Linked DNA regions of Lonchura striata. The protein of the gene in region 1 binds, or shares a complex with, the protein of each later gene. Links are inferred from orthologs where the notes say so. Each region holds a gene or a part of one and is shown on either strand. Other genes may lie near its edges. The genes, in order: NSMCE1 and NSMCE2.

The links.
Region 2: NSMCE1 (region 1) and NSMCE2 share a complex: the UniProt entries of both Homo sapiens proteins name them as parts of the SMC5-SMC6 complex. The link is inferred for Lonchura striata from reciprocal best matches to the Homo sapiens genes NSMCE1 and NSMCE2.

Annotation. Positions count from the first base shown.
Region 1 is NC_134618.1:17,482,834-17,489,892, reverse strand, and holds the start of NSMCE1 (non-structural maintenance of chromosomes element 1 homolog), read left to right. Parts: upstream 1-2,891; 5' UTR 2,892-2,997; exon of another isoform or gene 2,998-3,049; intron 3,050-3,170; exon of another isoform or gene 3,171-3,935; intron 3,936-4,015; 5' UTR 4,016-4,057; coding exon 4,058-4,175; intron 4,176-6,369; coding exon 6,370-6,491; intron 6,492-7,059. UniProt on the Homo sapiens protein: RING-type zinc finger-containing E3 ubiquitin ligase that assembles with melanoma antigen protein (MAGE) to catalyze the direct transfer of ubiquitin from E2 ubiquitin-conjugating enzyme to a specific substrate.
Region 2 is NC_134603.1:11,864,856-11,871,914, reverse strand, and holds the start of NSMCE2 (E3 SUMO-protein ligase NSE2), read left to right. Parts: upstream 1-2,126; 5' UTR 2,127-2,141; coding exon 2,142-2,249; intron 2,250-5,781; coding exon 5,782-5,929; intron 5,930-7,059. Other genes in the region: WASHC5 (WASH complex subunit 5), read right to left, coding at 769-954. UniProt on the Homo sapiens protein: E3 SUMO-protein ligase component of the SMC5-SMC6 complex, a complex involved in DNA double-strand break repair by homologous recombination. Is not be required for the stability of the complex.

The DNA.
Region 1 (7,059 bases):
TACCAATATAGTTACTTAATGTGTAAGACAAGGCTACCGGCTTTCATATCACTACAAATGGATATGATGCATTTAAAAGTCTGGTAAATTTGTAAGTGAAGTCATGCTAATATGCTTTTGGCTTTACTTTCAGTATAAAGAGGGATAAAATTTGTTCAGCAGCGACACAACCCTTTGGTTCCTTCCTCTCATGCTTTTGGAATTTTCTAACTTTCATATCTGGACAGAGTATTCTTGCTGCCTGCAAGTTTCAGCTGTTCTGTTTATACCTGTAGGGTTCCCAGGTAGTACACTAGTTTTTATTTCAAGGAGAGGAGAGAAGACTCCTTCAGCAGGTGAATGGTGTTCTGCATAAGATTGGTCAGATTATGAAGTAGAAAAGACCACTGAAAGGTATTTGTGGATGGTGGTTCAATACTCTCTTCCCCAAACCAACCATGCAGCAGAATTACATTACACATGTCTGACAGAGGTGAGTCAGTCTGTCTGAAAATATCCATCTTAGAAGTTAAGGGATAAGGACATTTATAGTAAAAATGTAGCGGACCCTGACTCAGGGAAGAAATGATGATGTCTGGCTCCAGATCAGAAGGCTGAAGGATAGCTTTATTAAAACTATATATATTACATTAATACACAATTTAAAGAGATACTATACTATTCTACATACTTATTTTTTACTCACCTATTTAACTACAAACTTGTGACTCTCTGCTGAGAGCCACAGCTGGATCCCATTGGTCACTGAACCCAAACAACTTTCACCAGAATCCAACCCAGCAATCACTGCAGGTAAAGATCTCCATACCATATTCCACATGGGGAAAACAAAGGAGCAGAGATGATTGTTTTCTCTTCTCTCTGTGCTTCTCCTGAGAGACAGAATTATGTCTCTGTCCAGAGAATGTGAATGTCACAGACATTGTTAGTCAAAATAGAAGATCAAAATGGCAACTCTTCTGTGACCTTCTCTGGGGCAGCTACTGCTCATCTAGTAATAAAGAACAAACTTGAAAGACAAATTTCTCATAAGAGCTTGAGAAAACTATTACTCAAGAGCTGAATTTTTTTCATATTCTGAGAAGACATGAAATGTGGCTAAGCACAGTAATACATTTTTTTTTTTAAAGAACACAAGCACCTTTGCTGTTGCTCAGAAGAAAAGGGCCAACTGCTCTGGCATTCAAAACAAAATCCTTCATTTCCCTTTTTCCTGGAATTCTCAAGAGAGAAAGCATTTACTTTCCACTGTTAGGTAATATTGCCACATGACTGGCGTTCCAAGAAACTCTTGGAACACTTAGAATTTTGGCGAAGAATCCTAAACCACGTAAGCATGTTAAGCAGATGGCAGACCAAAACCATCTTCTCATGGAAAAATGGATCTGCACATGTGGATGAAAATGGAATTAAGCCAGAACTTTAATAAAACTGCAAAAGGAGAAAGTTTTAAAATACCCACAGCTCTTCTGCCTGTTACCTCTTAAGTTTTTCATTATACCAGACAATGAAATACCAATCTTAAAAAAAAGTATGTAACACAAATAGACAATCCTAAAATTGCAGCCAACCTAGTAACTCTGATAAATTTGAGAAAAGTAAATTGTAAAGATATAAGTCACTTCCTCAAACTAGGAAAGAAATCTCTGTTGGTGTTAGAAGCAGATCTACATAGCCACTGGCACAAGCTACATACTTTGATCACTTAACCTTTCTGTTTCTTGAAAAAAATACTATATTATTAGAAATATTCACTATCAAGAAAAACGGTAGTAACTTTTGGTCTGGTCTTCTAAGGAAATTAGGGTCACATTCCATTAACAGCTATAATCTGCAAAATTGTTATGTGCAAAGAGTAACTCCTGCCCAAATCAAGAGGTCATATTAAACAAGAGTGCTTAATGCACCGTTGCTGCAAGTGTACAGATGAAGCATCATTCCCTGTTTAAAACTGCCTCTTTTTAAAACTGATGCGCAACTTGTCTTACTCTCTATAGAGTTTAAATCACTGACTATAGACGCTGAATAAAACGAGACAAGCGATACACAGCAAAGCAGAAGTTTCACCAATAGATTCTGCATCAAACCTTGACAAGAAATCCGTACAGAGCGTAATGCCTTGTGAGGAAAAACCGCTCCGTTCCGGGTGCTCAGCAAGAACCGGCCCGAAGCTCCGCAGGGCTCACGGGGGCGCAGCCCGAGCCCGGGCTGGCCCGGCCGGGAGCGGCTCCGCTCGCCAACGCGGGCCCGGGACATGCGCGGCTGCTGCGCCCACGGGCAGCACGTCCGGCAGGAACAGCGCTTCGGAGAACTACACCTTTCTGCGTAAAACTCTGTAAAACTCGCGTTTAACAGCCGCAAGGAAAGAGAAGCGATTCTGGCCGCGGGTTCCAGCCGGAGCCGCCGCACGGGACGGGGCCAGGGACATACGGCCGGCAGCTCCGGAGAGAGCACAGACCTTCCGCCCTTCCCAGAACCGGCGCGGAGGAAAACACAGACCACACAAACGCACGCCAAGCGCAAGTAACGAGAAGGAGCCGGTCCTGACACCAGGACGAAGGGGCCGCAGGACGTACCTTGTGTCTACCGGCCCCCGCTGGGAACCTGGGCACTCGGGACCCCGGACTCCGCGCTGCGCGGGGCGCGGCCCGCCGCCTTCCGCCCCCACACGCCGCCCGTCCTTCCGTCGGGTGAGGGCGGGGCGGGGCGGGGCGGGCCGGGCCGGGGCGGGGCGGAGCGGGCCCGGGGCGGGGCGGGGCGGGCCCGGGGCGGGGCGGGGCGGGGCCGGGCCGGGGCGGGGCGGGGCGGGGCGGAGCGGGCCCGGGGCGGGGCGGGGCGGGCCCGGGGCGGGCCCGGGGCCGGCGCGGGGCGGCGCGGGGCGGGGCGGGGCGGGGCCTTCCGCCTTCCGCCCCCACACGCCGCCCGTCCTTCCGTCCGGCGCGGGCGGGCCCGGCGCGGGGCGCGCGCAGCCGTCGCTGAGCCGGCGGGCGTGGGCAGGTGCGGGGGTCGCTGAGCGGTGGCACTGCGGTGGGAGCCCCGGAGAGCCCCGGTGGGTCCCGGTGGGGCCGCGGGCCAGCGGGCCGGGCGGCTTTCCGTGGCACTGCCTCCGTGGGCTGCGGCTGGGCCGAGGCCGCGTGGGCCGTGAAGCGGCGAGGTCAGAGCTCAGCCAGAAGCGGGCAGTCGGCCGGTGCAGCGGTCAGGGAATTTCCTGAGCTGCCTTTAAGTACTTCAGGCGTTCTTCGAAACCTGTAGAGGATTGTTTTTCTGTGCAAAGTCACCCGCTCTGACTGACTGTGCTCAGATCAGGCTGTGTGGGGAGCAGGAGCTTTGTCTAAGGGGGAATGACAGGCGGTGTTGTGTTTGTCACCCAGCGCTGTTCTTTTCAGGTTTGCAAATCCCGCTGGGGAGTGAGTGTAAGGTTACTGGGGCGTTGTAGCGGGGAGTGGGCCGCGGGCCGCTCTCCTGCTCCAGTTCCTGGCGAGTCAAAGCGGCCCGATACAGTTCGCTCAGCAACATGCTGAGCAGCTTCGATGAAAACCGCGCCGCATAGAGAAGATCGAGGTCGAAGTTTAGAGGCTCAGTGACCACCAGGGGTGCCTAAAGACCCTCCAGGAGCACCGTCTGAGACTAACTGTGCAGACTCAAGCGGCTTCTGTGTGTATAACCTTGAGCCAATTATGCACGTTAAGCAGCAGTCATTCCCCTGTGTATCCAGTGCTGCAGTAGAGTATTCCTTGCTTGTTAATACTACATTGGTCTTAAGAAGAAGTTTTATTCTCGATTTTGGGTGACAACGACACAATGCCTATGTTGTTTTTTCTGGAGCTAAAACTAGTTGGACTTCATCTCTTCCACCCTTCCAGAACCTCAGAGCTGGTCACCCTCTGCATTCTGAGGACAACCTTGGGATCTGCTTTTTTTTGCCCTCATTCAATGTAATAGATTTTAATTGAAATCTTGTGTATACTTGGACTGTTGTATTCTCAATTTGCATTAACATGTGCATTAATTCCAGCTTAAACCTCCTGCAGCACTTGAAGCCTGGTGAAACACTGTGATGGCAGCTCAGATGACCAATGCTCATCGACGGTTCTTGCAGGCTCTGATGTCTAATGGGATAACAGAAGGATCAGAGGCCAAAAAATTACACCAGCACTGCTGTGAAACTGACAAAGGTGTGTCTGTCTTAGTGATGAAAGAACTGGGATTTTTTCCTGGTGCATCTTGAAAACAATTTGATTTCTGAAGGGCATGCACCAGCTAAAAAAAGTTTAAGAACTGTAAAGATATGAGTCTTCCCTTTCTTTCCTGAAAGATAAAATAATATAGCAACAAGCAAACTAATTTCTAATCAGGCCAGATTTGTATATAGTACTTCTTATTTTATCAAGGTTGTTGTTTATAGGTTATACATATAAATGATTTTCAAAAAATAATTTTTGACACTGGATATACTTCACTATAGTGAATGCTTTTATGTAAATGCACTTCAGTTATTTCTCCCCCGTGTTGTGGGAGAAGTGACTGCTGCAAAAACATTTCTGTGAGGATGAGATGAGGTTTCCTGCTGAATTGCTGTGCTTTTTTTCCCATCTCACCTGCACTGTATTGTCCATTCCAAGTCCTGGAAGCTGTGTTCCTACCAGGCTTAGGAGTGTCCCTGTGCCATGTCTACTCACTCTGCAGGGACTCTTCTGATTTTCTGTGAATTTGTACCCAAAGATGTAAGGTCAGAATGAAGTAGTCTATTTGTACATCTCCTGAGTCAGGAACTGTAACTTGACCTACTTCTTAAATGCTAAAATTGTGAAGTGTAACTTCGGGTGTTCTCTAACCCCTGTCCATTTTTTATGGAGAATATTTATCCCTTTTTTTTCCACATAAGATCTACTCAAGCAGCCACTTAACATTAAAATGTAACATTAAAGTGTTAAAACTGTTGTACAAAAGAGTATTCTGGTACCTTTCATCTCTTACCCTCTCTCACTAAAGCTACCTGGCTGCTGTGTGCAGTGTTTCCTGCTGACAGGGGCCAAGCAGGTGGTAAAATTATGCTTAATTTTGTACTTACTTTAGTAATGTTCTTGCTGTTCGTTGACTTTGTTCACTGAAGGAATCTTGTATATGAGAATCAGGAACTCCTGAGAGGAGCATCCTATGAGTGCTGTGCAGTTTGGGAGTGAGACCTTGCCCCAGTGCTCTTACATGAGCGAGGGACTCCTCTGACTGAGAACAGGATTAATTTCATGATAACTGGTTGGATTTTTAAGACATGAATCATTTATCTAAAATTATGAGCTGTTACTTTGTGGCAGCAGCTCTCTGATCACAGAGAGCAACAGGCAACTTTCCCAGAATGATGCCTGGGAAAGGCTGTGATAAGATCAGAGAAAAGAATGAGAAACAATTCTTATCTTAACTTGCTGCACCTGGTATTGTGAGTATGTGGAATGTGTTGTGGAGATTTATTTACCAAAGGGTGGTTTCTTAATTAGCCAGTAGTGATGGTGTTTTAATTAGAGGGCCAATTAGGTCTACCTGTAGTGAACTATAGTATCAAAAAAGCAATAGGTTTCTTGATAAAGAAACCATCAGCCTTCTGTAAATGCATGGAGTCTGTGTAACTTATTACGTGGCCAGGGGCCTGCTGTAACATTACTTAGCTCTGGAGTTTATTTTAGCCTGATGAAGGCAAGCAGGAGTGTTGCCACTGACAAAGTCTTGTTTTGGGCAGATGTGAGGGTTGTGCTGGTGGTGTGCAGGCATAAACCATTGTATACTCTTCCATAGAATGACTGAAAGTCCATTCTAATTATGTCTATTATAAAACTGCTGCTAGTATTTGCTTGATTTGTAGAAAACTACTCAAGATATTTCTTGTGTTTCTACAACACTAGAATTTTAGGTTTTCTGATATGTAATTTGAGCACTTATGTGCCATTAATTTGTGAAACAGAGCATACAGAAACAAGAAATCCCTTGTGTATAAAGGAATTCAAGTCAGTGTATTTTTCTATTGTGCATAATATTTTTCCCAATCATATTTTATTTTCAGTTCAGCTTAGTTCAGGTCACTGTAATTACTGAATTAGTGCTATGGCTTCCCTGCAACAAGGCAGACTTTCTGCACTCTGTCAACTGATTTTTAAGGAGCTGAGCATCTCTGAAGGCCACGAGACAGCAGCGCAAGGAAATGATATGTCTGCTAAATAGAACAGTTTGAATTCATGTTTGAATTCTGCCTCAGTTTTAGCACTCTTACCTGGGAAAAAAATGCTTCACATAAAAAGATCTGCCTGATGTGTGTGTAGTTGTTTGACTTTTCTCTGTATGTTTTTTCTCTGTATGACTTTGTTCATTCATTTTCAGTTTACTATGCACACGATAAACTGGACGATTTCATCAGCACTATTAACAGCCACCTGCAGCCTTTGTTTATGCAGATCCGGAAAGGAATATCAGAAGATGATGGGAGAGCACATTATGCTGTAGTAGGTACCTGCTGTGCTGTGTTCACATGGGGCTGGCAGTGGCTGCAGGAGCTGCTGGGAGGATAAACTGTCACAGCCCAGGTGTATGGGAATAGGACATGGCAGCAAGGATGACAGCAGTGTTGGAGTTACTTGGCATAAACATTGCTTAAGTGCTGAAGTGAGATTTCTTTTCCACAGGAGACTTTCTTTCCTGAGACAGATTTTTAAACTAGAAAACACAGAGAGCTGTCCAACATCAGTTTTCTTTTTCTCCTACTCAAAAAGCAACCTAGCATGAAGGGGTTGCTGAGGAGTAGCCTGTAAGTTGTTTCCCCAGGTGATCTGCAATGTGCATGTCAGAGGTTATTTAGTAATTTCAGAAGATCATACAGAAGATATTCTAACATTAGCTGCTGCTTTTAACCTTTCCTTTTTCTACTAAGTTGAGCTAATAATTAATAATAGTAGCACATGCAATAAGAATAGAAAACATGGGCAAGTGGTTTTCATAGTGAAAAAAACTGTGACAGATAACAAAGTTCCTGTTGCTGTTTAGTACCAGACCTATCTAACACCTGTGATGTGT
Region 2 (7,059 bases), on another chromosome or scaffold:
AAAAATTCTACCAAACACCTAGATCTAAAGGTAACTGTGAAATCATTTGTGCTCTGGATTTTCAGTATCCAAACCTCATGGTGCCTGAAATTTACAACTCCTACTACAATCAAATTGACTTAAAAGTGCCTCCCTTGCTTTATTATTAACATTTCTTGTATTGGACAGTCCAAATAAAGTCAGATTAGACAGTCTCTGTTGTTCCTTCTTAATCATGGTGGAAAACGACAGAGGGAATTTTGTATTAAAAGCTTAATTCTGAAAGAGAAATAAGGGCTTTCCATGGACACTTCTCCTTGACTTATTTATTTATTTATTCAGTGCATGTGACAAGTCCAGAGGAAGAACAATCACAGCACTGTCAGACAGGAAAGCAGAAAGCAGTTTTCATGGCTGCAAAGAATAAGCTACAGATTAACAGAAGAAAGATGGGCATGCTGCCCACGGCACTGCTCTGAAGGGAAACAAACAACCATGCAGCCTCAGAACCTGCTGGAGGAAGTTTAATTTAGTGGTCCTGCAGGAATTACTACCACTACCACTACTACCACTACTACTAGTGCCACTACTACTACCTCCCCAGAATCCAAGACTCATGTCTTATATAATTGATATCTATCAAAATTCACAGCCAGATGACACATCAAACATTTTGGAAGATGTAATAGTAATAAACACAATAGTCAGGAATGGCTGTATCACAAGCTAAAACATCCTCATGTTGGACAGCAATGCTTTAAGGAGAAGTTTAACAATAAAAGGATTTACCTTGAAATAACTGAAATCAAATATGATATCTCCATACTTCTGCTGATCAGCCTTGTCCTTTAGTCTGAAAACACCAGGAATAAATTCGGAAAGTCTCAGAAGTTCTGCAATGATGGCATTTCCACAGGAAACAATCCGAAGAATTGCCTGACCACAGAGATTGTTTTCAGCCAGAAAATCCACCATTGTGGAGCTCAGTGTGACAGAGCAGCAGAAGTCCTGCAGTCTGATTCTGATCCTTACTCTTTAGGTTACTGGAAGCAGAAAGCCTGATGAAGAGACCAGCCACGCCATTAATAACCTGTAAAAACAAACCCACACACATCCAGCGTGGTTTATATTCATGTTTCTGATAATTTAATTTGTGGATATTTAAGCATACTCTCCAATCTTTCAAATTATGAAATCTAAATTATCCACAGCTTTTGAAATGAAAAAATGCACAGAATTCATTTTCAGCACGTACACTTAGTTTGAGAAGTGAACTGTTTGAGCAGGCAGGGGAAGTGTGATCTTTTGAAGAACAGTTGAAGAACACTATTAAAAAATGAAACAGTCACAAATAGTGAAGCAATTATGACCAGGCGAGGAGATTGGGCCCAAGGAAAGCAAAGTCACTTCACAAAATGTGTTTTTAAGATTCACTTTAAAAAGTCAACCGAAGTGATCATAAGGGCTTTAGCAATAAGGAAAACTTTCATAGCAAATGGAAATGACAGAGCTCCGTTCATTATTTATTGCTAAAGGACGAGCTTCCATGCTGTGCTTGCATTTCCTGCTCAGTTTTACTCGTTCACGCGTCTCCTGCGGGACACGGCGTGCAGCGCCAAAAATAAGCGTCTGTGCTTCAAAAACACCTATGGAAAATTATGACCAGGCTTGACTTTTCACCAAACACTTTCTGGAGCATTACGATAATTTGACAGTGCGCTGTCCCAAGGCAGTTCTGACCCAGAAGGAGCGGCCGGAGCCCCCCCAGGTGCCCAGTGCCGCCGCAGGCTGCGCTCCGCAGGGCGCACAGCGGCTCCAGGGCGGCAGCGGCCGGACGGGCTCCGAACCCGCTCCCGTCCCGTTCTGTCCCGTCCCGTCCCGTTCTGTCCCGTCCCGTCCCGTTCTGTCCCGTCCCGTCCCGTTCTGTCCCGTCCCGTCCCGTCCCGCTCCGCCACCGCCGAACTCACAGTCTGCGCTCAGGCGGCCCCGCTCCCTCGGCGGCTCCCGCCGGCACCCACCCCGCCCGCCCCGCCCGGGAGCGCCAGCGGGCAGGGACGGCTGCGGGCTCAGGAGGATGGAGGGAGGGTGGGAAGGACGGGAGGGAGGCGGCGGCGCTCCCTGTGTCGTAGCCGAGCCCTCCCGTCACATGACGGCGCCGGCTGATGAGGCGGTTCCGCCCGCCCCGGTGCCGGCGCTGCCCGCCTGCGGTTGCTGCGGGAGGCGGCGCGGGGCCGCGCCGGGACCGCTGCGCTGCCGGGCTGCGGGACGAGGTGAGCAGCGCCGCCGCCGAGGGGGGCTGCCCCGCCGGCCCCGTCCCCTCCGCGGGCTCGGGCAGCGCTCCGGGGCGGCGGCGGGCGGGTGCGGGGCCGTGTGTCCGTGTGGGACTGCCCGGCCTGCCCTGGCCGGCGGCCGGCCCTGGCCGGGGAGGCGGCCAGAGGCCCTGGGAGCCGGAGCCCTGCTCGGCGAGCTTGCTCCCCGCCCGGCCGTCTCCCTGTGGGCGCTCATCACCGAGTGTGCCCGGGCTGGACACTGATCCTGCTGCTCGGAGAGCACTTGGCACCTGTGGAGCTGCTGTTACAGAAGCAAATAATACTTTTTTCTTACCTCTGGTTCATACTCGTTGAAGAATTCTATAGAATACTATATAATAATAGAAATTGAGACATTGAAGAATAGAAAGTTTAGGTAATTTCCTCAAATATTTAAAATAGCGAACGGAATAGAAACTGTAGGGTTATCTTGTTCTTTATCCTGTCTGGACCATTTCATCACTTCCTGAAAGAAAAAAAAAGTGTCCTCGATAGTCTCCCATTCATCACGGAGTTTGCTGGTTGTGTTTTCCAGAAGTGAAGGGGCTGGAGGTTGCACATGATAAGTGCTTTGATGCGCCCACTGAAGACCTTCCTGCCGAAAAGAGTGCGGTAGAAACACTGCAGTGAAACCAGTTACAGAGAGGAATGTGCCCCTCCCTTGAAAGGTAGAATGGACAGCTCCACTGAGCTGAGGAATTCACTTAGTTCAAGAGTGAAATCTTTGCCTTGGGATCTGTAGGAGACTTGAGGAACAGTTGACCGGCTCAAAAGAGCCAGCTGGGAAGTGGTGGGGGTACAGGATCTGTAAGCCCTGAAGTGGCAGAGCACAGAAGATATAAGCAAAGCAACACGTGTGCCAAACATGCTCTGCTGCCAGGGGTTTAGAAGTTGCTGAGACAATGCTGGATCCTGGGGTGATGGCCATTTACTTTTCTCTCCCCATTTTTTTTTTTTCTTTCTTTCTCTGGTTTTCTGGCATACTCTTCTCAAAATATGTAAGTCAGACTGGAAACTTCCAGTTTCTTCTTGTGTCTGGAGAAGTTAAAAGTTCGCTGAGCTAAAGTTTGGGAAGTACTTGATTTTTGTCTGGATGTTTTAAAATTTGCCAAGTACCCTATTCTACTTGAACGTTCCAAAGTTTGGAAATAAAAGTTGTTATTGAGTCTCCTGGTAATTTGGTTGTTTTTCCCATGCACTGCCCAGGGTATATCCCAATGCCTTCCTCTGAACCCATCAAGTAGGCTGGGGCATTATAGGATTGTAACAAGTTTCTAAGAAAAATAGCCTTTTATTAAAAAAAAAAAAAAAAAAAAAAAAAAAAAAAAAGGAAAATTAATCTAAAAGAAGTTACTTTCCAAAAGACAGATTGAGATTAACCTACCATGCAATGATATGATTTAATGTCATAACCATAACTTCTGCTCCTGTGTAATTTGCTCATGAGAACAAAGAGCCTTTTTAACTTTTCACTGTTGTTTGTATCTTTTTTTCAGATTCCTGCTTTCACAGTGCATATCTGTGAAATTTCCAAAAGAACAGCAGGTTTTCTCAGTGAGATTTGCCAAGTTCAAGAAGGGAATTAGGCTCTCTTTGTTAACTTTGATACACAAAATGGGCTCAGAAAGATAAAGCTGCTAACATGATTTTATGTGACTATTCCATAGTGTACGTTTGGATCACAGAGGTTCTATACAAACAGTCTTGCTAAGATGGCAAACAAGTACCTTAAAAAAAAGTTAAATAATATACTAGCTGAAGGAATTTGTTATTAAATCTTCAAGAGCATCCTTTTTCTTTACTTTCAGGGAGTTCTATAAGGAACCTTTTCCTTGTCTTCTGTTGTCAGTTTGACAGCCTCTAAAGACCTCTAATGATATCAGTCACAGTCTTCTGTCAGGAAGAGCATGAGCTGACATAACAAGAGCTGTTGAAGCCTGCTGCATCGGTGGAAAGATGCACCTTTAGAAGGGGATAGAGAGGAATAAAAATTTCCATGTAATTAAGAAGTTAAATTTGTTGTGAGGTTGAACTGTTGTTAAAATGTTGCTGGAAGCACATGACCTAAAGATGGTGTACTAAAAGATAGTATTGACTGGCCAAGCACATTTTATAAATGTAAAAAAGGAAAATGATTGGAAATAAACATTAAGAGACAGCAGGTCTCAGTCTGTATTGTGAGGAATATGGCAATGTTCAGGTTAGGGTGAGCACAAGGTGTAGTTCTGGAGTCTCAGGGAAAGCAGTGGAGAGAGATACAGCTTAGGTATACAAAGCTTGGGAAAAGCACTATACTTTCTGTTAACATGTTTTCCAGATTGCTGTTGGATTATAGCCTATTAAAGGCTGTTATTGATAGAACAACTCTTCCCCCTCTGGTATACCCCAAATTTGTTTGTGGATTCTACTCTCTATCTCCCCCAATGGCATCTCAATATAGTCCTTGAACATACTAGTTATTCTTTACATGGAAAAATGCAATACTTCTGTCTATCTAAGAGTTCTGCTTTGCTGTATCTATTTTTCTTTTTTTTATTTCTTTTTTTTTTTTTTTTGGTGTATCTAAAGCTGATGCAAAATTTTTCTAGTCTGCAACTTGAAGTATAAAATTCTGCATACCAGGTTCATGTTACTCATGGTAGCTACATGTCTGAGCGGGTTATGGCAAAGGATGAAGAAGGAAGAGAAGAAAATGAGGATTTTTGAGAAGAAACCAATGGATGTGAGCAGTGTGGATAGGCACAGCATAGGCAAAAAGACTTGAAGGTTCTAATAATGACAGAGCAGCTAATCCCCACAAGGGTGTAGGCTCTGGGTGTGTATTGCAGATCCAGAGGGTGGTAAAGAAGATAAACAATGGTACCTGTGTGGCTTTATTTTGTGGTAATGGAAGATGGGTACCAAAAGTTTGTAGCATCTTTGGCAGAAGTAGGCAGCATTTTTAAGGTGGGCTTTTATTTGAAAATTATGCTAGATGTTTTACTCTTAAGTACGTTCTTAGTAGAGTGACAATTTGTTAGATTATTTTTTCCAAAGGTCAACTGCTGATGAAACTAAATTGAATGTGAGAAATTGTATTTCTTCCTAGCCTAATTGATTATATGGCTAGATAACCCAGACAAGTTTTTGGGCATATGGGCTTTTTTGGATCTTCTTTTGGATCTGAAATAGAGCAGTAGTTTTCAAGCAGACATAATTGTGGACTTTGAACTTCACTGTGGTTTAGCAATAGAAATGAGCAGAGGAAAACTCTGAGTTGCTTGTAGTGGTGTAGTTTTGCTTAATACTGAATAGGAGGTGAATTGAAAACCTGCAATGAATTTCACTGAAATTATCAACATCTTGGGAGCTAAGTTTTCATCCCTGCTCCCTAATGCTTCAGTGATTCTGTCGACAGTGCTTTATGTTTTAGCTATCTATTAGAACTTACGTTTTCTCTCCCAAATTCTTTGTGTGCAGACTGCTTTTAATTTGTTCTTCCTGTTATTTATAGAGTAACAATTTCAAGATGTCAGATGGTCCAAGAGTCTCGTTCAATGCAATAGATTCTGCTCTTTCTTCTTTGAAAAACTGCCAGACCTTCATCAAGTCTGGAATGGATGTGACTACTCAGGTTGCCCTTGACCTTGTGGAAAGTTTCAGTAAGTATATTCTCTCTTGTATTGCATCCTGAATCTGACAGATTAGTCCCAGCCCTATGTATTTTGACTTAATTACTGTTAATATCAATCTTTATTATAGCTCTTCTGGCTTGGGCAGGATGTTTTCATTACAATCATTTCACTTAAATGAAAGATTTCATTTAAAAGATAAATTCAGTGAAAATGTAAATACCCGGCAAATGTTGTCCTTGCTTTTGTGACAGCCAAGACTAATTGTGTTCCAGTGATTGTTACCTTACAGCTTTGTAGAAACTTTAAAATTACTGAATGAGATGGAGAACACCCCTCAAGTTGCTGAATAAAATGAGTTTTCAGTATCATACTACTTCTTTGTGTGTGTTTTATTTGACATTCAGGGCAAAATATATTAAAATAATGCTAAAGATGTTGAATACAAAGCTTGAGACACCTGTTAGGAGATGCAGTTTTTTAAAATGCTGTCTCTCCTGAAAATTAGGCCTTTTTTAGGTTGCTTCAATTTGGACATTTCCAAAGTGGGGTACTTTAAATCTCTGATTACTGTCAGCAGTCTTGTCATTACTATTTCACTTTCAATAAAAGGAGCACTGCAAAGCTACTTTTCAAAGAGAAACATTAGCTGACCCATTTCCTTATCTTAGATCTGTGTTAATGTTTTCACTAGGGAAAAATAAAAACTTTAAAGCTCCAAACCCCTGATAGTTTTAATAAAGAGTGGAGAGTGAAGAGCAAGAATCTTCTGAAAGAAAAGCTCTGCTTTTCATTAATAAATCTTGGACTCAACTATGCCAAAGATTACATACAATCAAGATTAATGTTTTTCTCATTGTCTAGTGTGATAATTCTCTCATTGTCTAGTGTGATAATTCTCTCTTCTTTCACCTTTTTATCCATACTGCTGCCATTTCTAGCAGGAAGAGGAAATGGAAAGCTTGTCTGAACAGTCACCTGGGGATTCCCTTTGACATAAAACTCGTGTAACCCGTTCCATTTCCCCTCTGCTTTAGCAGTCACCATCTCTCCTACTTTGTCATAAACAATGAATAGAAATACATTGAATGTATTGAATTCTTTCATCCCCAAGACTGCAGAAGTTAATTATTTATACAAAAATTAAAAGTTTTTTACTG